Styela clava: one gene and its partners. The protein of the gene in region 3 purifies or fractionates together with the protein of the main gene of each other region. This does not show direct contact. Links are inferred from orthologs where the notes say so. Each region holds a gene or a part of one and is shown on either strand. Other genes may lie near its edges. The genes, in order: DNA-directed RNA polymerase III subunit RPC10-like; DNA-directed RNA polymerases I, II, and III subunit RPABC5; DNA-directed RNA polymerase III subunit RPC8-like.

Region 1 (8,767 bases), on a different chromosome or scaffold from region 3:
ACAATAAAGTTAAATTTTTATCGGTATGATGAATTTTTAGAAAATTATTTGCGTGACTATGGTACGAAAAAATATGGTGCTTTGTTTTTATATATGAAGAGTAACACTATTGCATTTGAAACCAAAGTTACAGAACTTTTACAGTACTTAACATTATTTTTATCTACGAGTCATTGAAAAATATGTGTACTTGTTATTTTATCTAATTATCATGCACACTCAAGGCATATTGTTGATATTAAGCAGAGTAGTAAGTAGTTCATATTATCAAATTTGCATTTTTCTGTCATGAAATTTTTTAAAATCGAAACCGTATGAGAGCATTCTATGTTACAGCTGAGATCTATCTAGCTGATAATACACTATTTTTGGTATGGTACAAGCATGATATGAAGATGTTACTGATAATGTTTACAATAAAAAGTTTAATTTTTTTTTTTTTTGTTTCAATTTTTACTTTGCATATTACTGATACTTAAAATTTTACTGATTTCGATATGCTAACAAATCATGTATGCTTTTTTATTTTGCTAATATTATTATTAAGTCTAGTACTGATAATAATATAATACTTTTTTTTCTATCAATTAAGTCATTTTTTAGCATTTTTGGCTTTTTCTATTTGTAGTAATATTACATCGCTTTCTTTCATCTGTTCCATTTAACGACCAAAATTGCGCAATTGCATTCCGATTGGTTGGGAAATTGATGTAATCAATGAAAGAGTGATATACAAACAACTTGGCTTTCTTACCATGTTAAGAATTGTGCACCATTCAATTATAGTCCACCACTCGCACCTAATGCACTAGTACATTTTAGATTTTTGGAATAACAAGTGTTCAATTGAATCAAACAAAAAAGTGTTTAGGTTCGACTTATAATTTTCAATTTTGTGAACAGGATTAGTCTTTTTTGGACGCTTGCATTGTCCTAGACACCATTCCACATTTGTATTTTGTTTGGTATGTTTATGACTAAGACAAGTCCCCTTCCATTTATCTCATAAAACAACCAAAAGGTATAAGAATAAATGCATTCAGTTCAGATTTTAGTCTAGTTTTTAGCGTGTATTCGGTTATTAAATGACAACATGACCTAGGACATTTGTTTGCAAAATGATCATATTCTTTTTTTTTTGTAAACATTGATACATTATATTTTATGGTCAAGGCATGACATGATATAAACATACTTTATAATTCAAACACATAAAGGCCATCAAGCTCATTAGAAGATTTTTCCAGTCAAGTCTAAAAGTCTTTGATTGGATGTGCATTTTCATCAATTTTGGACTGTTTTTATAATTTTTTTTTGGTGTATTTTTAGTATTAGTTTGGTTACTGGACTTGAATTGTTACTGTTAGGCAAAATACAGAGAATAAATTTTTGTCCTATTCTGATGAACAGAACAGCAAAGTGTTCTGTCCTATCTATGAAATATTTCGTATACATTATACGCTCTTGATTACTTAAACATTTTATATTTCTCAAATTTTTTTTGGTTGGACAGTATTGAATTGATTAAAAACTGTTTTCCATATTGTATCACAAACTACGAAAGTTTATTTATATAATCAATATTTGTTGAATATGTGGCATTATGGGTTAATTCAGACTTAATAAAACTATATCTACTATTGTCTATTCAGTTTTATTCCAAAAATAAGAGAAAAAATTATTTTAGTATCAAAAAAATATATATCATAAATCAAACGAAATTTTTGTCATGACGTGTGGTATTTCATTGCTCCTTTTTCAATATATCATTTTTTTACTTCTGCCTATTCTAATGAATTTTCATGAATTGCTTAGCTTATTTCTGTAATATATATCAACTAAATATACTAATTATGATATAAATCAATGAATTATCTCCTTGTGTTATTTCAACAAAAGGAATCTTACAACCATCAAATTTGACATGACTGTATTGAAAATGTATTCAAATTTGCTGGGGGATGTTACCCAATGTAGTGTTCCCTCTGTGAGATTGCCCTATTTCAGAAGTGGTCATACGGTATCGATATATTGTTATCCAAACTTGTTATGGTAAAGAAATTATGATTGGTTATATCCATCATCTGTGGTCTTTTACCAGTTATGTCCAATTTTGATGGTGTCTATATCTTTTGTCGAAATAGCCATTTCAAAATTATTTTTTTATGCCATGTTAAAAAATCAGAATTCTGTAATTTTTATCTATGTAACATTGCCAATTTTATCATCATCGATACACATTTTAAAATAGTACAAAAGTTTTGCAACATGGTACAAATACGAACGTTGTCTATTTTCATTTTGTTGTTCTGAGATATTTAAGGTGAATGGAACTCTTTCTCACCCGTTATCAGCAAACTGGTGTGGCGTATTCTGCTGAGCGTTAGGAATACACTCGCCACAGCACCTCTGATTACCCTGCATCGGTTCGCAAGTTCGAATCCTGTGGGGATAATTATGTGGGAGGGTACGCCGTGGGGTGGGTGGTCCACCTAACAACCCTAACCGACATGGATTGGTAACTGGACTAGAGGTGCACTGATACCGATATTTCAAAAAGCCAATAGTCTGATACCGGAACCAGGTAGTTATTACTATTAAGTGTGAATGGCAGACTGGTTAAAACGATGGTGTGTGAGCATTATTCATAATGCACAATATTTCAGTTCGAAAAATAGGTATTCGGATGCATTGTGCACTGACGCGAGTAATCTCGGTGTTCAATTAGAAAACTGGTAGGTTTGGCTACTATTGATGGTAGCATGAATAAATGTTTACTCATCCTATAAAACTGATACATCGAGTTGCGTGCGTTGGATTCTGTGCCAATATAACATCTTATTTCGCATTTTACACATTGAAAAATCCACTAATATTGATTGATATATTTCTACTTAATTTGCATGTAATATTGAAAATGTCATTGTAAAACTTTGGCAGCGAAAATAGCCAAATTAGTTGAGCTAGTTTGGTTGATAAATAGCTAAAACAGGTCGAATTCCTATTCCCTTTTCTACTTGTGTGGGTGTGAACGAGCATAGCCAGAGTTAACGAATTACCGCGGACATGATCCCTACACGCAAAAAAATAATAATTTCAACATCCGTATTACAACTAATTTTAAGACATTTTGAATCGGATTAAAAAGCTGAATATATCGAAAATATCGGTCTACATTTAGCCGATACCGATACATCTCTAAACTGGACGAGGCCGAGGGCATCGATTTCCGTAACAATGACCAATCAGCAAAAAGTCAACGATGACGTAACAGTTGAAATTTGTGACCGCATCTCTGATTACTCTGCGTGGGTTCGAATCCCGTGAGGATGAAGGGATAGTTTTGTGCGAGAGGATTGCTGGGCTTCTCGCCGCCGTGTGGTGGTTCACGTACCGTAAAATCGGGTAACTTTGGATGGAATTATCAATCGTTTATATCTCGGCTGAATTGCGATTTTAAAATAGCAACGACTAAAATATATACATCAAAAGTTTTCTGTGGATCTTAAATTCATGGCGTCAACCACTGATAATTTAATTAATTATAATAAAAATCACAATTAACGAAAAACATTTTCATTCGATTTGATGATTTCAAATTTCTCCATTTGGAACGGCAACATAGTTTAAAATAGAAAAAATCGTGAGAAGTCAAGAAATACTGCTTAAATATAAAAAAATATATATAACCAGCGAAAAATAACAACAATCATTGTTGCAAGTGAGTTCAGGTTAATGAACCCTAACGAAAGTAATTTAATTTAAAGTTACCTATATAGACCATTCAGTTAACCATGAATAGACCTTATTCATTAAAATCCCATCCTACGCGCAAATAGAAAAGTGATGTAAACAAAACAATTTCACATTAACTCCTAAGCGTACAAGAGCTATCAAAACAATATCGGCTATGATCGGGGAATATTTGGATCTAAAGTTACGATAAGAGAAAATACCACGAGACATTTTAGTATGAAAACAACTTGAAAGTGCCGCACTGGAAAGTTTAAGGTCGATAGATAGATAATGATTTATTTCCGATACAAGTACATAATACAATAAGCATGAGCAAATAACAATAAGCATCCTTATCCTTATCCTTATCCTCGTCCTTATCATGGCGACCGGGATCGAACATCTAGCATTTACGCAACGACGTAAAGTGTGTTTGGTCTTTTTAATCACGCACTTTATATGATGTATAAGTCTAATATTTTTTTTCGAAAAATTCAATTTTAGGTGGGATCCATTTTCTCAAAAGAAATACAGTATTATTGAAAATAAGAATATTCCGCGTGGGAACCGATTGTCAAACCTCAAAATGATTTTCCGATGCCACAAAAAAATTGTCACATAATCATCATAATGCTGTAGCACACCGGCTGTACGGTATGTTAATCGTTGGGCTGTACTGGAGCTGTGAAACAAATGCTTTAATTTTTATTTTTTTGAATTCCCACTACTGTACTACCTCATTCACTTTACAGACATTTCAATTTCAACATTTGCTTTAACCTTGTAAAACATATTTACAATAGGCATGTTCTGATCTAACTATCTGATTCAACTTTGCTATTAGGGTTCTCATCATTTGGCAATGTTGTTGTTCTGCCCTACTTGCGGGAATTTGTTAACAGTCGAGGAGGGGACTAGATGTTACAGGTACTGCACTTTATCAATAGATTTCTAATTATATTTTGAAATCCACATTTTTGCATTTATTCCTATTACTGTATTACAACTACTGATAGGTAACTCAGTAACTTTTGGATGCTGGAATTATAGCTTGTCGATTAAAAATACTGAAATAGAATTTTTTTGCTTCTATTGGTTTACTGACCTTTCAATTGAATTATTCATATTCTGTACTGGAATGTCACAATTTTGGATATAATTTGAGACTTGAAGCAAAAATGTGATGTTTTGAAATGTTGTTATTAAGTTGAGTTCACATCATACCAAGTTATTGGCAGTATTGTGTTTTGAATCTGATCTAATACCAGGGATGGCTAAAACCGAACATAATTCGCTTTACAGAAAACTTTTTGATATGATATTTGCCAGTATGAAATATAATAATTTGGATAAAAAGGAATGACGTAATTTTTGGATGACGTAGTCAGGTGGGGGTTAGAAATGACATATGCGAAAATAGTTATGCCATGCCAACTGGATATACTTGGCGGTGTTCAGTGAACCAGCCCTCTCGTGCTGTTTGCATTTTCACAATATTTTTTTGGTTTCAGGTTTGCTTGCCCAACTTGCCCATTCATTCATAATATTAATAGAAGAATAAGCGCAAGGAAATATCCAAAGTTAAAGGAGGTGGATGATGTGTTAGGTAAGTGTACCAACTACTAATGTAAAAATTTCTTATGATTATTTCGAAGTTCACTAAAAGTCCTAGAGTGTATGCGTAATAGGGTAAGAAACTTCATATCAATCCGAAGTGAATAATCATATGTGGTATCCTATCCATAGCTCAAGCCAGTTTTGTAAACAGCTAATCAATTAACCATATTTGATATAGTGATCTGAAATGTGTTGGGTATCTATTAATACAGTGGCCGTGATTGCTTTGTTTGAACATATTTGTAATGCATTTTTTCCAGAGATTGGAATCATTCAATAGTGAATATTTATGTATTTCATCTTCGCTAATAACCTCATTATGTAGATAGGTATGAATGTCTATATCTGTAGACCAAACGTAATCTCACAAAATTTTTTATGAGATCACACTAGTTCTCATGGTGTCTTTTTCAATATAATGTCTTTTGTCAGATTTGTCTCTAAAATTTCCAAGTGTCTTTTTTAAAGTATTAATATTTTTGAGATGGGTTTTATTACCATTCATATACTTAGTGATTCTGAATATTAGAGTTTGAAAGATTAATCAGATTCATTTTATGATGTTAGTCCCAAAGTTATTCGAATCCAACGTAAGCGGGGAAAGTATTTACATGAGATAGGTCTTCTAGACACCACGCTGCCCGTGGGTGGTTCATGTAACCACTGGTCAGTCATGGCCTCCTTGCACCATCATGGCCATGCATCTGAAACATCTGGTAACTTAGCTAGCCAATCCCATACCCGACAAACTGATAATCAAATCAGAGGTCGTGGTACGCCATTTTATTAATCAATCATCCACTTTCCTTTCCTCTCCCTTCGGATAAATATGAAATTCCCATCCTGTGTACTCACAAATAATACTTTTGAATCCCCTTTATTTTGCAGCTTTTCATTCGGTTTTCGATGTTGCAAATCTCATTGTATATTTTTTATTTTAAATTCAGTCATTCACATCTCTTTGGTTTTCCAGGTGGATCTGCTGCATGGGAGAATGTTGATTCAACAGAAGAGACTTGTCCAAAATGTGAACACAAAAGGGCATTCTTCATGCAAATTCAAACTCGATCAGCAGATGAGCCAATGACAACTTTTTATAAATGTTGTAAGATTGAATGTGGTCATCGTTGGAGGGACTGATTTGGTCAATGTAGCACAAAACGATATGGATCATCTTGAGTCGGGAGGGAATGATATTAGAGCAGAAATTGGAAAATGATTACTAAGTGGATGTCAATGTGTGAAAATAAGAATCTGAATTCTTCACAATGCTCAAATTCATTAATAAGTTACAAGCTTTTTATAATACACCTTCATGCATCACGAAACTTGTATTAGAGTAGAAGGATTCACAGTTTCCATACTGTAAGGTTTCCAGTTTGGTATGGACACTACTACCAGCTTGGGTGAGGTTCTGATTGAAAAATTCTCAAATATCATCTTGAATCTCTCTATCACTTTTTGTAATGAAAGTCCGCAATTAGTAATAAAAACAGATAGTTACTTCATTCAGATAACATAGAACGCAACTTTCGTAATTAATATTTTTTATATATATTAGAGACCAAAATCATAAGTGCTAAGGGCCCACAAAAGGTGTGACATGGCCCTAGCGATAACAACCTGCTATTCTGCTGATACAAACATGCGTGGTAAGGTTTTCAATTTTATCTTGTTTTGATTATGATTTATATACGATCGATCGTGGTAAATCGTCAAATTTGATCTGTTATTGATTCCTTTCCATTGCAGTCGATTGGTTGTTTTCAAGATATGTAATAGAATCCCAAGGATATGCATTTATTTTAGTGGAATAGAAAACTGATTGACCATACCTATCATTGATTACCTTACATTTCATCAGAAAAAGATGGCGTGTGCCCTCTACGCAGTTTCAGAATGAATATAAAGGTACATCATCATACGCACAATTTGCTGCATATCATCTGTAGTGCTTGCGATAACATATTTTATCTGGTCCGTGTAGTCTGGTTGTCCATCAGCCCTAAACAGCTATGACAGTCACTGTACCGAAAGTTGTACCCTAATTCAGGTGGTGTTAAGTTGACGCATGTTATTTAGTAACGTTTTTATGTGAAATGTTTGGCTGTGGTACCTGATACATTACATAATTGACTTATAGCACTAGATATTTCAATTGATGTTTCAATATAATCAAGAAGAATGAATCATTGTCACAGGACCTAAAATATCCATGACAGTCCTTGTACCGTCACGGTACCCCAATACAGGTACTGATAAGTCACCCATATGATTTTTGGAGAATTGTCTGCGTGTCCATACATTTGAGAATTGCTCTCTTGTGTTGTTCTTGTTCATTGACACGTTTTGAAGAAATCGCTTTTCTCTTTGAATACTGGACCGATTGCTTTGAAATTTTCAGTGGTTTAAAGATGGAATTATTTTCCAGAAGGCTATTACTTTTATTTTTTGCTATGATCTAATCTAAATTATGTGACGCTACGTGTCCACATATTTGAGCATAGCTCGCTTGTTCAATTTCAGATAACATGTCATAGATAATAACCAGCTTCATTATTATTATATATATATATATATGTAGGACTCTAAAATCGTAAGTGCTTAAGGCCTCTAATAGCATGATCCGGTCCCAGAAACAGGGGAACGGTTTGTCGCAGCTTGCTACGGTCACGCATTGCAAGAATTGTTTTATAGCCACGCAGCTGCTGATAGCACACATTCGACAGGTATTTGGCGGCAAAATCATTTGGTAACACACTGCCTCTCCCCCTGTTACTTACCACTTTGTATTTTTCATGTTAATTCCGGAGGGGAAGAAAGCCGATTGTTTAATGGGCGTAATCATATGTTGGTACATAGTACCTACGCCACCCAAACTATATAGCAAAGGTCTCGTGGAAAATGCTACCAGAAAATATGATGTCTGGTATTATAATATATGTGATAGATAGTTCTGCAGCTAGCAGTTCAGAAATAATATGAAAGCGATGCAGGTGGAAATTTCCAGGCGTGCCCTCGGGATAAAAGTATGTAGTCGACAAAGATAATGGACCTTTCCCCGAGCATTGACTTCTTTGTTTACTTCGTGACATTGGTCAATCAGCAAGATGCAAAAAGTGACGTAACCATGCTCCCTTTCCGCTTAGACACTTTTCTCACTCAGAGAGGTTTTTAAGCATGGTCGTAACGACGTAAACATTACCTTGTTTTCGAGTTTTTGAACGCTATTCGTTAGTTTTCAGTTGTGTTTCGGAAATTTAAATATAAATCAGATAATGCAATGATCACTCTGTCTTACTAAAAGTTTTAATTTTATTGCAGTAATAAAAAATAGTGTAGTGATAGACTAGGTTAACATTCTTTACCGGTACTTTTAAAAAACAGATTGTTGTCTGCGATGAATCATAATGGT
Region 2 (7,737 bases), on a different chromosome or scaffold from region 3:
TATTAATATCGTCAAGAAACTGGTGAATTTTCAAATTCCATAAATAAAATTGGGAATTGCTCGGTAACATTTTAGCCATAATTATCGCCGGGGTATTGTTTTGTTGAAAACATGTTGAAACTTGAGGGAATTAGTTACAATCAGCGCCTGACCTCTATTAGGCACTCGAGCACTCGAAAAAAAAAGCACTCGAGTCCAATCTTTTTAGCATTAAGTCGCATACGTAAAATATCCTGTAAAAGAAGTGCTGTTCATTAACGTTATCTCGTCTTATGACCACGCAGAAATGCCTTTATTGCCGAATTATTCAATCACTATTTTAAATCAACATTCAGGATTGGCACAATTTCAGATTTGCGAAGTTTATCACCATAGAAAAACATGAGAAAGTTAATTATCGTCTTAATAAATATCAGCATCACGGTATCGACAATAATATTACCATTCGCATAAAATTGGGACTGTAAATTTACAAATCTTGATAGGTAATATTAAAGCCAACGCAAATGTTAATTTGAGTCCTCAATGTCTTCAACAGCTGTTGCCGATGTGAACAAACGGGTAAACCCGAAATATAAAACTGTCCGCCGACCCGCAAGAATTCATATTTGTAAAAAAGAGAGGGCGGGAATATAGATTAACAAAACCTGGATATCGCCGCCAAAACGATCGGTGACAAGAACAATTAGCGATTACAACGGAATTAACCAGTAAAAAGGCTTTGTTGCCGATTTTTTAATGTTTCAACCGACGTTCCAAAAATATTTGTTATTCGGTACTCGTTAAAAATATTCAATTCAATGAAATATTGAATTTTGCCCACCCGTACTCGCATATCAATGAGAAATAGTTGTGTAAATATCGCAAAATGCCACGTGCTTTCAACATTGTGATTACAATAAAATGGCACTTAATGGTATTTTGTGAATTTGGTGATTTTGCAAATCTGTGACATGCTGCTAAAAGTTTCGTCTGATTTGAAAATCGTGCACTTTGGTCACAATACATCCAAAGTGACTATAACGCTTTACTAACACTTTTATAGTCATTTTGAATTCAACGATATCATTGATAGTCACATGACCACTTTTGTTCAAAGAAAGGCACTGGTAGTATTCCAACATCTGGTTTCAAAGACGTGGAGCGTTTTTGCGGGAGAAGCGGAATCGGTGTGCTTGTATAATAATCATATTATAAACAAGAATTTTGCCGTTAATGCAAAAGCTTTATCTCCTATGTCTGCATCTCATAGGTTAGAATTCCGGTAAATATCGTTATGATATGCAGAATTGAGTTACAAAAGTACTAGTATGTTACTTATTTGTCAACTTAATACTCTTAATAATTTGTTAACTTTGAATTTTTATTCCATTCAAAATCGGAAAAAAGTGCTATTTCTCTTCAAAATCGGAAAAAAGTGCTATTTCGCAGTCCCTAAAAAAAGTTGCGAAAGTGCTTCGCAATTTTCGCAAAAAAGTGCGCTAATAGTGAACACTGCCCAGGAGATTAACCTGCCATAACACTTCAATCCCCAGGCCAACAAGTAAGTAGTAAAAGAGTAAATCTGACATTCTCAAACCTTATAAGATGGCCAAACTTATTTCCCGGTGACATTGTAGCACTAGGTGGTGAAGATCTAGGAGTAAAACCTCCAAATGATGGAGAGTTCATATAGGGATGATGTGCGTGGCCTCCACTCATTGATCTGTTTAATACCGGTGTCTGAATAAAGAAACGTAAGATAAATTTTACAAAAAGTTAGAGAATTTACTACAGTGACTTTGAAGGATTCCAGGAATGGTTTCTTTCCTCATTTAAAAACCGTCCTTCGACCCAAAACATCAGCGCCTACTGAACTCTGAAAGAGGTTTAAAAAATTTCGAAGCCTAAATCGGAACGAAAATGAGAAATGTTATCTGATAAGAGATAAGCATAGGCTTATAGATATAAATTTATAGCTCACTGTGGTCACTGAAGGGTCGCCCATCAGATATCCAGGTAAAAATTGACTCCCACCATGCTGGTGATGTAAGCCACTTGTTGATGGTGATGGATGGTGGCCAACAGGAGACCCCAACATCATTGGTTCTGTGGTAAAATCAATAAGTACTTTAATGAACGCTCCAAAAGTGTGTGTACCAATTTGGAGGTAACTAATTTTATTCACCCACTTTACATCAAGTTGTGTAAACGGACTGAAACCAATGTGAAGGGGGTATATTCACTTGGCTAACACAGACAGTCCCCAATCTCGTAATAGAACTGAAATATGGGAAATCTGAATAAAATTAGGGCCTAGCCCTAACTACAGGAGTACTCTTTAACGTACACTATTTTAATAATATGCATAGTGCATACAATCAAAAAGCTCAGCAATGGGCGGCGATTACCGTCATACTTTTTAAAAAAAAAATTAAAGGGATAAAATATAATAACATGTTATTATTATTCATTGTGAATGTTTCTCTATACTATTTAGAATGATACAAATTGCATTTGAAAAAAAAAGATAGCTTTACCTTGATTGTCCATGTTATTTATACTTAATAAAAGTCAATGTCTACCCTGTCAGCTTTTATATAAAGAAAAATTATTTAATAAAACCTACAATACAAATACAAGACAAAAAGTAATTAGGACAACATATGATTGAAAAGATTTAATTTCAAACATTATTAATAATGATCGACTGTCATAAATGGATTGAATCCCAAAATATGTTGCATTTTACATGTTAAAAAGGTAAATTCTGCAAAATATAACAGATAGTGTTTGTAACACAGCCAATGTCAGAGCACCATAGACAGCCATCCCACGATTAACAAAATTCCTCCGTATGGTGTTATGGGTCGAATTGAACTGTCTCCTGTTATTGATTGGTAATAACAACTTCCACAAAACACAAGCATTCCTGTAGTCAGTATCGCTCCAGTTAGTAATGGATATTTGCATCGGCTCACTGCCAGAAGAGCAAGAGTATGAAAGAAATGTTGTCGATTTGCATTATCAAATATAAGTTTTCTGTGCTCATCTTCTTTATGTATACCATGTGCTCCGTATGCTGCTAATCCTACTGCAGAAGCACCAGATATTCCAGCAATTCTAACAAACAATCGACCATAATAAGAAGCCATCTAAGGAAAAAAACACTTTTTTCAACCTCCCAGATTATTCACAATTTAGTGGAACACATTATGACACAGTTTCTGTAAATAAAAGTCCATATGAAATAAGCACACAGAAACTCACACTTATCTTGAGACAAAATATGACAAATAGGTGCTTACAATTCGCAATAACTTCACAAATGAAAAGTTATAACATACAATGCTGCCGTATATTAAAAAATAACGAATATGATCATGCCAGTTTTATGCTCTGCAACAAATATTATACAATAGGTTTCTAACATCATTTAGACATCAGTTACATTGATCTGATACCTCAGGTTTCATATAAACAGTAGAATATTCAGATATTGCAATGATTCACCATTGTCCGGATTGAAAGCTGACCTATAATTTCACAGTTTCGTATTCCAAAATTCAAACATCTTTGTCCATACTTTACAATTTTTATGAAGTTGAGCTAATTCAAATTATTTTTCAAGTGGAGCGTAATTCAAAAGTTTTTCGATAAGATCAACATGAGCCAGTAACATGCGACGACAACAATATCGTTTCAGTCCAAGGGCATCTAACGCATCTCCTTCAGTGTATTCAGCTTGCAAAAGTCCGAGATAAGCTTCCCATTTATTTCCAACTACTTTTCCACATGTGAAACATCTTATAGGAATAATCATGCCTACTTTTAAATGGATCTGTAGTTATAAAGTTAATCTGAATAAATCATAGGACAAAATTCAAAAACAGGTCTCTCTAAAAACAGGCACTTGCGAATTCAATCACTTTTAAGATTTATTTTTTCATTTTTTTCGTAGTTTATTGGGGTTTGAGTTTTATTAGACATTGAATAAAATTGCACCTTCTATATCGCAATATTCCTTTCAATTCAATAATGTATAATTGATATTTAAATAGTAAAACATGGCAATTCTGAATACTTAATGAAAACACCAGGCACTTGTCAAGTTTCAGGCTTTTTCTAAAAACCTAATTTTGTAAACAGTTTTGTATACTCCACCCTGGTATCACACACACCCACCCTCCTTGCACAACTGTCTGTATAAAGTCCATATTATACAAATTTGATTTACCGTATTACAATTTCAGAATTTATACATATCAAAAGCAAAAGTGCATACATCCAGTCTTCAGTATTTATAATTACTAATCATTTTAGGCTATATTGCTTTTACGAGACGAGTAAACATACATACATTGCTTAATGTTTACTTTAAAAAACAAATTGAATACAGATAAATGCATACAAATTTTAAAGCAACTACAGAACTAGTCCGGTATTTAACAACAAAAACAAGAATTCTAACAACTTAGTACCATAAAACAATTTATAATTGGCTTTTAAAATAGTATGATGAAAAATGGTAGCCTCTCTCTTACACTGATAGTCTTTCGCAGCCACTAGTCCAATGCAGTTAAAATATTGTATGTTTTTCGCTAAATTTATCTCATTTTCATTTTTTTTTCAAATGTACAATATTTGTTGCTCGACCAAAAAAATAAGATCAGAATCTAAATTTGAGTAATTCAATTATAAGACTGAATTAGAATTCATACAGACTTCCAGTCGTAGAAACTGACATTAAAATGTTAATTCAATTCAAATACAGCAAGTGAGTCTCTTTGCATCATTCAAAATTAGAATTTGAACACAGGCTGCAATAGTGAAACAACCTATAAAACGCTAGGATTGAAACTATGTCTGTATGTTACAAAAACAAAATCACAGTGGAAAAAAACAGGCAAGCCCCATTGCGAAAATCAAAAAGTGTAGTATAAGTTTATTTGACTCAGTTTATTTATGCACTTGCTGAATTTGACACGTCCTATCAGTGAGAATTCTTCAATTGATCCGCGATATTTTACCCCTAATATTCAATGTCAAATAAATGTAAAAGGCGAGTTGATCGACCGTAGATTGTCAAATAGTATTACTCTTTGTATTATTAAAAATGATAAAATTGTCATAGAATAAAGAATTTCATTAAAAAAGAAAAGTATAGCAAGTTCTGACAAAAAAAATCTTTGAAAAATATGGTGAAAAAATACCAACTTTTATCGAGAAAAATCAGTCACTTGCAAAATTCGACACCTATTCGCCAGTCACAATAGTTTTTGTTTTTACAAAAAAATATGTAAATTCAATCATGCAAAATCTGTATATTCCGATGTTTGCCCTGAAAAAGTATTGAAATTACTCATATATCTGTATATTTGGTAATTAATACGGTACCCGTTTCTTTTTTTTTTAACAAAAAATTTTAAATTTAATACACATAGAGTCCCCTCCCCGTTATGCGATCATTTTTACCAAAATGCTTCTAATATGCTTTGTATTCACAGAAAACACTTCATTTTATCATTAACATACTCTACAAATCCATCTCAATCACTTCCCTTAAAATCATGCCGGTACCGTGACCGGAAAACCCTTTATACCGCCTCTACTTTCACCATGTCAGTGGGGCAATTGCGATCAACAACGTATATTTGGGACAACACTGAAAGGCTGAAAGAAGAAACGGATGAGGTGGAGGAAAAACGGAAGTTGAGGTGTTCCCGAAGGTGAAAAATTGGAAAACACTAAAAGGCTGAACACTAAAACGAGGCAGTGGAAGAAATTTCTTCCGAGGTGGCTGAAACCACTAAAAAGCTGAACACTAAAAGGAAGAAGTGGATGAAATTTCTTCCGACGAATAATGAGGTGGTTGAAGTCACTAAAAAGCTGAACACTAAAAGAAAGAAGTGGATGAAATTTCTTCCGACGAATAATGAGATAGTTGAAGTCACTAAAAAGCTGAACACTGAAAGGAAGAAGTAGATGAAATTTCTTCCGACTGGTGTTTATGTGGTTGAAGTCACTAAAAAGCTGAACACTAAAAGGAAGAAGTGGATGAAATTTCTCCCGACGGGTGTTGATGTGGTTGAAGTCACTAAAAAGCTGAACACTAAAAGGAAGAAGTGGATGAAATTTCTCCCGACGGGTGTTGATGTGGTTGAAGTCACTAAAAAGCTGAACACTAAAAGGAAGAAGTGGATGAAATTTCTCCCGACGGGTGTTGATGTGGTTGAAGTCACTAAAAAGCTGAACACTAAAAGGAAGAAGTGGATGAAATTTCTCCCTCCCCTCCAATTTTCACGGCTCTATCTTTATTTTAACCTCCACATATGCTTCCGTTCTTCCTGAAATAGAAAAAGAGGTTTCGTGCTCTAAAATTGGTCATTTTCGACCACTAGTGGCGTTTTGACCCAGAAAAATCTCATTTTTGGACGAAATTTGACGCGAAGCGAGCTGTAGGTAGGCGAGTAGGTATGGATTATGTATACCGAGCGGGAATCTATCACTATTTCTAGTTTGGCCAAAACAGGGTGCTGAAAGGTTGTGATCGTAAATGTGACGTGAACGAATATCGGGGAGGGGACTCATACTCTACTCAGATATGCACCCAAATGACACTGCCCCAATGCATGTAAATACCTACATCGGAACAGACACATCTACCTGCATATCTGAGCTTTCAATAATACCAACAATTATGGGAGGATTGCACTATTAAATTTGCACTATTAAATCAATACCCGTACCGTTACTCCTTCATCCCACTTTTTAAAGAAACAGTTTATATAATCTTTAGCGCCACGCTGTGGATAACCGGTTAATTTCACTCTCAGCCCCAGTTACCGTATTTTCATAGTTAACTTAATAATATCAAATAATAATATACGCTGATTATTTGGTTTCTGCAAGACTACTTATCCTTCTTCTATGCTTTTGTGCCGGTGGATCCGTATGCATATATTGCAAGGATGCTGTAGCAAGAGTAGAGATAACAATCCTAAGTGATCTAGGAGTCTTGCTGCACACTAACAAATTCATGAGACTAACGATGAGACCAAGCCTTATTGCACTGTATTCTACACTAATAAATAGGACACCCGGGGGACGGTCGCTACGCTACCCGCAAGGGGAAATGTAAGGAAAAGATTTGAGTATAAAAAGTGGATGTTTGATTATGAGTTTGATCGTAAATATATACTAGGGTTTGATGGATGCACCACGGTCGTTGCGCCGGAAGAATGTCGGAATTCGCCCGGCGCGCTGCGCCCTCCTTCTTTAGTCCATTAAGTAATTTAAATAGCACATCATAAACAGGTCGCCCATAATGACAGTTAATTCACCCCAGTGAAATTTTTGCCTGTAACACATAGGTCACTTAATATAGTTCGCTCACGCTTTTTTCGTCTTTGTTTATTTATGTTACACAGTTCTCTCGTTACGCTTGAATGTTGCGTCAAGGTATTCTCTCAATGCGATATTGTGGCGCGTGTAGGCCTCAGTTATCTGACTAACTATGTGTGGATACTAAGGAATACTTGTTATAAAAGAAATAATTTGAATGAAACAGAGAAGAAGCTGTAACGGACTTTTCCCCGACTTTTGACCCTCGAAAATATTCTTCCTATACTTTAGCATTGCAAAATTTTCGGGACTTATTTTATTTTGAGAGTGGTTTCGAGTAAAATGGGGTATTTGTTTCAAACCATCATTATAATTCATTGCATACAACATTTTGTTTTCAAAAGTACCTGCAAA
Region 3 (8,767 bases):
ATATTGTCTGAATTGCACCATATTTTACTTACTTTACTTTGCCATATCAGTAATACAACAATCTTATACATATCACAATATTTCCTCCTATTTGTGAATAAGATTTACATGCTTATCCCAGAAAGGAGGAAAGCTTATACGAAGGCTTAATCATATGGCAAAATAGAGCCCTTTTCTGGTTACCAGTCCATGTCGGTCGACTATGGGATTAGTTATTATCCAGGTGTTTTCAGATGCATGGACTTGATGGTGGAGGAAGCCATAACCTGCCTGCGGTTACGTGAAACACTCTATCCTAATCTGCCCTATCGCTTAGTTTTTGTTCTATTTTTACAATACAAAGATCTAACAAAAAGCTTGTGCGATTCGAACAACCCATGTCATAAGATCGATACCCAAACTACTAGAAAGCCTATGTTAAATATAGCCGCTGCCCCCGGATTTCACACAAGCACAGCCTGGGTGTATGGATGTCCTCGTAACTTTCAACATGGCAGCTTTCACACTGCATCTTCAGAATTCGATTTCTCTCAGCTTTAATTCCTCAGCCATTGTTCCACCATGATAATAAACCAAGACCGGAATCAGTAATTGAAGCCTGAAAATATGAGAGCAGAATATTAAAAATTTTAATCTCTCAGAAGTAAAAAATTATTAAAACGAACATTTTGATATCACTGTTGCAGTTGCGAATAAAATATATTTCACTCCAGAGAATATCGCCGTTGGGCATGTGCCCCTTTTCAGAACGCAAAACAATCCCTCCATAAACACCAGTTATTGAAAATTTTTAGCATGTCGTTAAGTTCGCCCAAAATCATGTACGATCGATCAACCAACCATGACGCCGGAAGTGTTGGTCGACCCCTACCAGTTACCACCTAACCCCGGGTTTCCTAAACGAGTTTGGGCGCTCCAAAAGTATGTGTACCAATACGGCGGTAACTAATTTTGTTCGCCTACTTCACACATCGATTTGTGTAAAGGGACTGGAACCTATGGGTATATTCACTTGGCTAACACAGACAGTCCTCGAACTTGTAATAGAACTAAAATAAGGAAAATCCGAATAAAATTATGGCCTGACCCTAACCTGGTACACATACTTCGGGAGTATCAGAGTTTGCTTGTCACAACTTGCTCCTAGAATTGATAAATTGTAAAGCAACCTCATCCTCACAGTAATGTCATTTGTGTTGTTGTGTTGCAAATGAAACGCTATCCTTCCTCGTTTGTTAGGCAAATAAATTGATACGGAGCGAGAGTAGAGGGGTCAGTCAAAAATACTATTCACTAACAGGGGTCTGTGACCCAAAAAGTTTGGGGAACCCCTAAGTTTGGGGAACCCCTATCTAACCCACCTCAATTGAATAAGGAGTCTTGCTCTTCGTTTCCTCGACTGAAGTTTCCGCTGTTGCGGGGTCACTAGATGGCACAGAACTCGGTGTTGTATCAACAAATGTTTCTTCCATGACACGAAACCGAATCTCCTCCCCAATGTCCATAAATAACTCGTGAGTGCCATCTTCTGTCTCGTATTCCCAAACCCAAACCTGAAGAAAATTGTTATTATACAAACACACATCTAGCTTATTTATAAGACATGGCCAATTTCAATATAAATATAAAAAAATAAATCATACAGAATGAAGTTGTTGATGATGGCTAATAATGCCTCGTTGAATAATGTCCCTAATAATTGATTGTGCTATCTGTCTGTTGTTAACGCGTCGCAGTTGCGTCACTCGCTAATTTATTCTGTTGCTTAAGCACCTATGTTGTGTGTTATGTTGGTGTAATAAAAAAATAAGACTAATCCCAACAAATTTCATGAGCTATTTTTAGCTAAAACCTCAAAATTTGGTTTCAGTTCGGTTGTTGCAGCATCAGACAGGACAGATTGAAGTACCCATGGGTCGTAGTTTACCCATGTTACCCAGGGTTAGTGGCTAACGCGATCATTCCAGGGTTGACACACCCCAATCAAGATCTGTACAATCACAGATATGAAGTCGCTATAGTGAACTTTTCAAAATTCTTGTGCAATAAGTAAAAACCTTCATGCTTAAATGTATTGTTCATGTTAGAATAAATGCGCTCCTACCTGTTCTGCTTCATCAAATTTTGAAGGTTGTTGCAAATTTTCTGGCGGAATGAGAACGTCGTCAAAGAATCCCATCGTAACTGAAATAATACAAGTAATACTGTTGAGCAGGGGCATATCCAGGGGGCTGGTTTTGGGGGTCAAACCCCCCCCCCCCCCTTTTGAAATGTAAAAAAAGTAATAGCATGTTTCTGTATCATACATAGCAATTTGTCGTAGCTTGAAACGCTCTTTAGACCCTCAAGATTCATGAAAACACACGTTTTCTGTCGTTCTGACGAATCCGCTAGTTGTTTCGATCTAACTTAGCAAATATAAATTCCAGAACCCCCAGCTCGGAAATTTTTTGCTACGCCCCTGCTGTTGAGTATATTTCATTTCTGAGTCATTGAATTAGCAAATTTCCTCACAAAAAGCTTAAAATGTGGACTCTCTAATGACTCCATCACCAACAACCTCCGCTAGTATAATATAATATTCATCATATAAAACCTAACAAAGCAATACCCCGGATACCGTTACTGCATTTAGTGCCGCTGTGACTTTAGAATGCTGTTCCTATGGTTACGGTGCTTAATAATGTGCTCAGAATTTTTATTTTTGTATGTATTCGTTTTGCTTTTTGTTATGCTGTAATCTTTATTTCATGATATAATGTTTGACTCTATTCTCTCTAATATATTAATTACTGTTAGACTTTACAATGCCCGTTAACCAGTTTCGGTTTCTCGCGCCACCTTTCACCCTGGAATGCCATATTCAAGTTTGTTCATTAGACTGTTCGAATAAAGTATATTTTCTTAATGGTTAAAAAATAAATAGTGATTACTGAAACGTAATGTTTAAACTTACCGCAGACACCATCTCTGCTGCAACCTTTAATTTTTCCGATCAAAACTTCGTCTACGAATGGTCGAAACACAACATATCGAAAGCGAACTGAAATGAGAAAGAAAATGTGCAGGTCAGAAAAAACTTCCAGTTTGTTGAAGGCATTTAGTGGCAGTGCTCAAGACATTGACTTACTGATTATCACCTCTCGCTGATAATGTGAAATATTCGGGCCCTGAGCTGGGTACTCCCGTAGTATGTTTACCAGGCTAGGGTTAGGCCCCAATTTTATTCCGATTTTGGGTTTCAGTCCCTGTCCATACATTGATATAAAATAGGCGAACGAAATTAGTTACCTCCATATTGGTAACACACTTCTGGAGTACCCTGAGCTGAGTACCAAGTAAGGTGTATCATTAAAATTGAATGAATCATGGTCAGTTCAAGTTTAGTTTTATTTTTAAAGCATGGAGGAATGTTAAAATCAATACAAAGCCTCATATTCATTACAAAATGTGTCAACATTTAGTTTTTATGAATGTGAACAGCAATGGTATAATCATCGGCTTTTGGGCCCAGATCAGGCATGGTTGGTCAATAGATCATTCAAAACTGATTTTTGAAGGATATACACAAAAGAATTTAACTTTACCAAATGCAATTATAATAGTAGAAAGCACTTTAGGATATTATTTTGGTACTCCAGAAGTATGTGAACCAAGATGGCGGACACCGGAACACAGTATGTGTACCAGGTTAGGGTTAGGCCATAATTTTATTCCAATTTTCCTATTTTAGTTCTATTACAAGTTCAGGGACTAGCCAAGTGACTCCCATAGTCTTTGTACCTGAAGTTATGGCCTAACACTTTAGGATATTATTTTGGTATCCCGAAGTATGTAGACCAAGATGGTGGACACCGGAACGTAGTATGTGTACCAGACAGTACCAGGTTAGGGTTAGGCCATAATTTTATTCCAATTTTCCTTATTTTAGTTCTATTACAAGTTCAGGGGCTAGCCAAGTTACTCCCATAGCATTTGTACCTGAAGGTATGGTCTAACCCTAACCTGGTACACATACTATGTTCCGGTCTGCGCCATCTTGGTTACATACTTCGGGAGTACCTTGATTTGTAGGCATCTTATTCGTCCCTTTCCCCTCGTCACCACCTACTTTGGACCCACCTGTGACCGCTTGCCTCAAGGGTGTTTGGACAAGGTCTTGAATGCCCCAGCAAGTCATTCAGTGAACATAGGCAAGAAATTCTAAAATCTTATTTAAATTCGCATTGTGTAATCAGCACAGGAATGGTCAGCCGCCACTAAGCATGATGGATTAAATGTTGAATCATACAATTGGTACCTAAGAAATAGTATAAGGGTGTCCATAAAGTCGTGAATTTTTTTTTTTAAATTGCAAAGGGGATTTATCTATGCCATGTATTGTTTTGGCCCTCACAGATGTATTGAATGAAGTAAAAATACTTGAACAAATACAGAATGAAAAACAACAAACCTGGCTAAGATATATTGGGAACTGACTTCATAACAAAATTGAAATTGTAAAGAGACTTTATGGACACACTGTATATTGAATTGCATCTGCTTTTTACAATACCTTTAGTATGGGCAGCTCCATCCCCAGGAAAAATATAAGAGTCTTCAAGTTTTAGAATATCGAATAGACAGATGCACAGGCCAACATTATACACAACCTATAATAAAATAAAGAAAATTTATGTTTTATGTGGTGCGCTCACTCAAAAAAATCTCTACATAAGCAGCAATTGAATGTAAGATACTGCTATGTATTTTGATAGAATACAATCTTTCCAGAATGCATACGACCCACCAAATTCATTCCCATCTACACACTTTTCAATGCACAAATAACACCAGTCTGAATTCTTAAAAAAAATTGCTTTCCGATGATACTAATGTTGAACCTATTAGAACTCGCTTTTTATTGACCCCTTGATGACCCTGCTCACATCATGTACAGAATGATTATGCGAAAGGAGATTACTTAACTTCTCGCTGCCATGGTTGATGTCATGTAATTGACCAGGTTTCTACACATTATAAGTTATATAGGATATCCATAAAGTTCCTTTACAATTTCAATTTTGTTATAAAGTCAGTTCTCAATATACCTTAACCAGGTTTGTTGTTTTTTTAATTAGTATTTGTAAGTTTTTTTACCTTATCTAATACATCTGTGAGGTCCAAAACAATATATGGTATCAATAAATTCCCTTTGCAACTTAAAGACCTAATGGACGCCCTATAGGCCTACATTTCAATTCATACATAGAGTCCATACATTTAAAACAAATAATCAGTAAACTATTCCCAAACCAGACATGTACTAGTAACTGTACCGGATACCGTGTCATGTCATATGATTGAGCCGTCTTATCTACCAAGATAAACCAACAGAAAACCTAGGTAACTCACCTTATTAGCGAGCTTCTTATTCAATTCCACTGATATTGCATCAAGTTGATTCACATTGAATAACCAAGGCTGGATCTTAACTGTATCCGTCATTTCAATCACAAAAAACATTTTGTCATCACTAGTCATACATGGGTTAATCTAGGCTTCTGAGTAAATAGACACCATTAATTGACTTAACCTCGCAATAAAATCAATCAAGCATGACCCGACAGAATTTATTAAACTTCACTAAAGTTTATTATATTCTGGCCAATTATGCTTGATTGAACAAGAGGTGTTGTGAAACTTTTTTATTCAGCAAACTGGGTATAATTACACAAGAGTAAAATATGGATGTGGGACTAAATTTTACTAGCAATCAAGTGTGACCTGACAGAATTTGTTGAACTTTACTGAGGTTTAGAATATTCCGACAAATTAGGCTTGATTGAACACAGGGGCTTACGGTGAGTCTAATTAGAATTATTTTCATTGAACAATATGGATATGATAACACAAAGAGTAAAATATGAATGTATTAGTCTGGCTTTAACTAGCAATCAAGTGTGACCTGACAGAATTTATTAAACTTCACCAAGGTTGAGATATTCTGGCAAATTATGCTTGATTGAACTGGGGGGAATTGAGTTCAAATTGGACTATTATTTTATTCAGCAAAAAGTAAACTATGAATATGCGAATCTAAATTCAACTACGATAAGTTTACCAGTATCTCCATTACACTTGCTCAGAACAGGTTGTTAAAATCAGTTAGTAGAATCAGCAAGTCGACCGGTAGGATTTAGAAAACCAACATCCAAAAAAAGGGTTAATTTGGTGCTCCAGAAGTATGCGCACCAAGATGTCTCACCACCTGAATCCTAACCAGTACACACATACTGTGTTCAGGTTGTGCGCCATCTTGGTGTGCATACTTCTGGAGGTCCTCTTAATATACAGGGTGTTTGAAAATTTTGCCCGATTCTATAACAATTGTAAGTTCAAATAAATTTTATTGTATGATAAATAAGAACTACAAGAACAATATTAGGAAACGGAATGAAGAAATTTCCAAATGTTATTACTATGAAATTGAGCGAATTTTTTTGGACAATCTGTATAATCGGTTCTATCTGTGAGGGGGCGCTGTTACAGATTTAGAGATACAAAATCGTATTTATAACATGGAAAAGTTTAAATTAGGGGTGTGCAACGTGTGGCCCGCGGACCAAATGCGACCCACAAATAAAAATTGTGCGCCTGCGGAGAAATGCCAATTTCAAATGGTGTGCGGCCCACGTAGCGAATTTCTAATTTAGTCTAATCTGGTACGTGCACGTAATGTCAAACCCGCTGTGTTCAATCCAATTTACTACCTATGCCTATGATGCTACAATGCCCTAACAGCAAGCTTTTGCGAAGCGCGCAACGCTTGTCATAAGATCAATGCCCAAAATTTTTAACCCACCTGGATAAAAGGTTGCACACCCCTGGTTTAAATCATTATGTAGAATAAAAATTATTGTATGAAAAATGTGGCAACAAATCTTAAAAAAACATCTGAACATCCATTGTTGGCAAAATTCCTAATTAAGTGCACTGATTGACAGAATCATTGGCGATGGTAGACAGATTAGTCAGAAAAATAACAAAATTTAACTCAGTACAATCTTTATACGAGTGAAATAAATGAAAGTAGTTCATTGGAACTTGCGATAGGATTTTGCATATTTATCCTGGAGGAAAAACGTTACCACCCCAAATTTTTAGGACTGTTGACTTTTGTTACATTCTCTTAGGCTAGAACTGAAATGCGCAAACTGCGACCCGCGGGCCAACAAATCTGCCCGGTTGGGTAATTCAATCTGGCCCGCCTGATGTTGTGTTGTGTCAATTCGTGTTGGGGAAATTACTGAATGGATGGTACCAGAATTTTAACCATACAGCCAGAGATGGCCAATAGCATATTTCACTATTCCGAAAACATTCTTAAAAAATATTTTTGAATATGGAATATCAAAGACATTCTAAATTGGAGGAAGTTGAAAAATCATACGGTTGATCACATCTGAAATTACATAAATATGAAGATCATTGTTTTTCTGTGTTGTTCGTTATCAGTCAAAATATGACACGCTTTGATCTGCCTGTCTGAGAGCTTGAAATCTCCAAATATTCTTTATTTATTTCCATATTCAAATTTTTTTTATATCAAATAATTAAATTGCATGTATTCGAATATTCGATTAGTTTTGTTGGACATCCCTGCATATAGTGATCATGGCTTATGCAGGACACTCACCCATTGTGAACATGGAATAGCTCTGTAAGAGGTATTTATAATGTGTGATTGATACTATAATAAAATATGTAGAAATATAGAAAAAGTGCTTTGTGACATAATTCAGTAATCAAAAAATAATTTGACACGATTTGTATCATATCAAAAAAACGGTGCTCCCGAAGTATGCGAACCAAGATGGCGGACATCGGAACGTAACATGGGTAACAGGTTAGAGTTAGGCGATAATTTTTTTCCAATTTTCCTTATTTTAGTCCTATTATTAGTTTGAAGACTAGCCAAGAGCCTCCCGTAGTATTTATACCTAAAATTATGGCCTAACCCTAACCTAGTACACATATTACATTCCGATGTCCGTCATCTTGGTTCGCATACTTCGGGAGCCCCAAAAAAACATACTTGATTAGGCATAAAATATCAAATACGATCAAAAATAATTATTGTAAACCAGTGGTTCTCAAACTTTCAAAGCCACTTCTTGGAATTAGTCAAGTCTCCCGCACCACCTAAAAAATAACGACCGGTAGCCAACAATAAGCTACGAAGAACAATTAGTAAGAAATAGGAAGTATGTTTTATAAAAAAAACACATTGAAAATACATGGATGGGGCGAAATTATCCAAAATAAAGGAATGTAAATATCCAATATAAGGTGGGCAGATCAAATCTAACAAATCTTTTTATTTTTAATAATCTTCATTTCCCTTGTGAGGGGCGCCCTATCGTCTCAGAACCACTGCTGTTAACTTTATGTATGATTATAATTCAAACAGAAAATAGGGAAAATGAGGAAAATTAGTATGCATTGCACAAAAGTTACGTTCTCTCTATAATATGTCCTGATGATCTGGGTTCTGTTTTTCGGGTCAACTTGTACATAAGAATATTATAATTTCAAAAAAATCAGCATTGCCAATAGCCAACTACTTGCTGTAGCAGTATATGCATATGGTGACACCAGTGCAAAAGTATAAAAGAAGCATATTTATTTCGGCCACACTTTGTAAAACTGGGCCTTCGGACCACCTAGAGCGCCATGGAGCTTGTCTCTGGGGGCCGCAAGCAAAGACATACACTAGGTACCAATT

What was found.
Region 1: the proteins of DNA-directed RNA polymerase III subunit RPC8-like (region 3) and DNA-directed RNA polymerase III subunit RPC10-like purify together in Homo sapiens (affinity purification with mass spectrometry; 3 studies listed by BioGRID and IntAct, with this or other methods). This does not show direct contact. The link is inferred for Styela clava from reciprocal best matches to the Homo sapiens genes POLR3H and POLR3K.
Region 2: the proteins of DNA-directed RNA polymerase III subunit RPC8-like (region 3) and DNA-directed RNA polymerases I, II, and III subunit RPABC5 purify together in Homo sapiens (affinity purification with mass spectrometry; 4 studies listed by BioGRID and IntAct, with this or other methods). This does not show direct contact. The link is inferred for Styela clava from reciprocal best matches to the Homo sapiens genes POLR3H and POLR2L.

The regions. Positions count from the first base shown.
Region 1 is NC_135259.1:10,998,990-11,007,756, forward strand, and holds DNA-directed RNA polymerase III subunit RPC10-like, read left to right. Parts: upstream 1-4,444; 5' UTR 4,445-4,597; coding exon 4,598-4,662; intron 4,663-5,246; coding exon 5,247-5,341; intron 5,342-6,325; coding exon 6,326-6,492; 3' UTR 6,493-7,637; downstream 7,638-8,767. UniProt on the Homo sapiens protein: Core component of RNA polymerase III (Pol III) which synthesizes small non-coding RNAs using the four ribonucleoside triphosphates as substrates. Can mediate Pol I proofreading of the nascent RNA transcript.
Region 2 is NC_135252.1:12,672,888-12,680,624, forward strand, and holds DNA-directed RNA polymerases I, II, and III subunit RPABC5, read right to left. Parts: upstream 3,868-7,737; 5' UTR 3,803-3,867; coding exon 3,599-3,802; 3' UTR 3,135-3,598; downstream 1-3,134. Other genes in the region: nucleoporin NUP35-like, read right to left, coding at 1,580-1,722, 1,964-2,088, 2,520-2,532; transmembrane protein 256 homolog, read right to left, coding at 2,790-3,134. UniProt on the Homo sapiens protein: DNA-dependent RNA polymerase catalyzes the transcription of DNA into RNA using the four ribonucleoside triphosphates as substrates.
Region 3 is NC_135263.1:3,399,159-3,407,925, forward strand, and holds the start of DNA-directed RNA polymerase III subunit RPC8-like, read right to left. Parts: upstream 5,527-8,767; 5' UTR 5,524-5,526; coding exon 5,395-5,523; intron 4,653-5,394; coding exon 4,556-4,652; intron 3,044-4,555; coding exon 2,957-3,043; intron 2,185-2,956; coding exon 2,105-2,184; intron 1,554-2,104; coding exon 1,362-1,553; intron 599-1,361; coding exon 545-598; 3' UTR 1-544.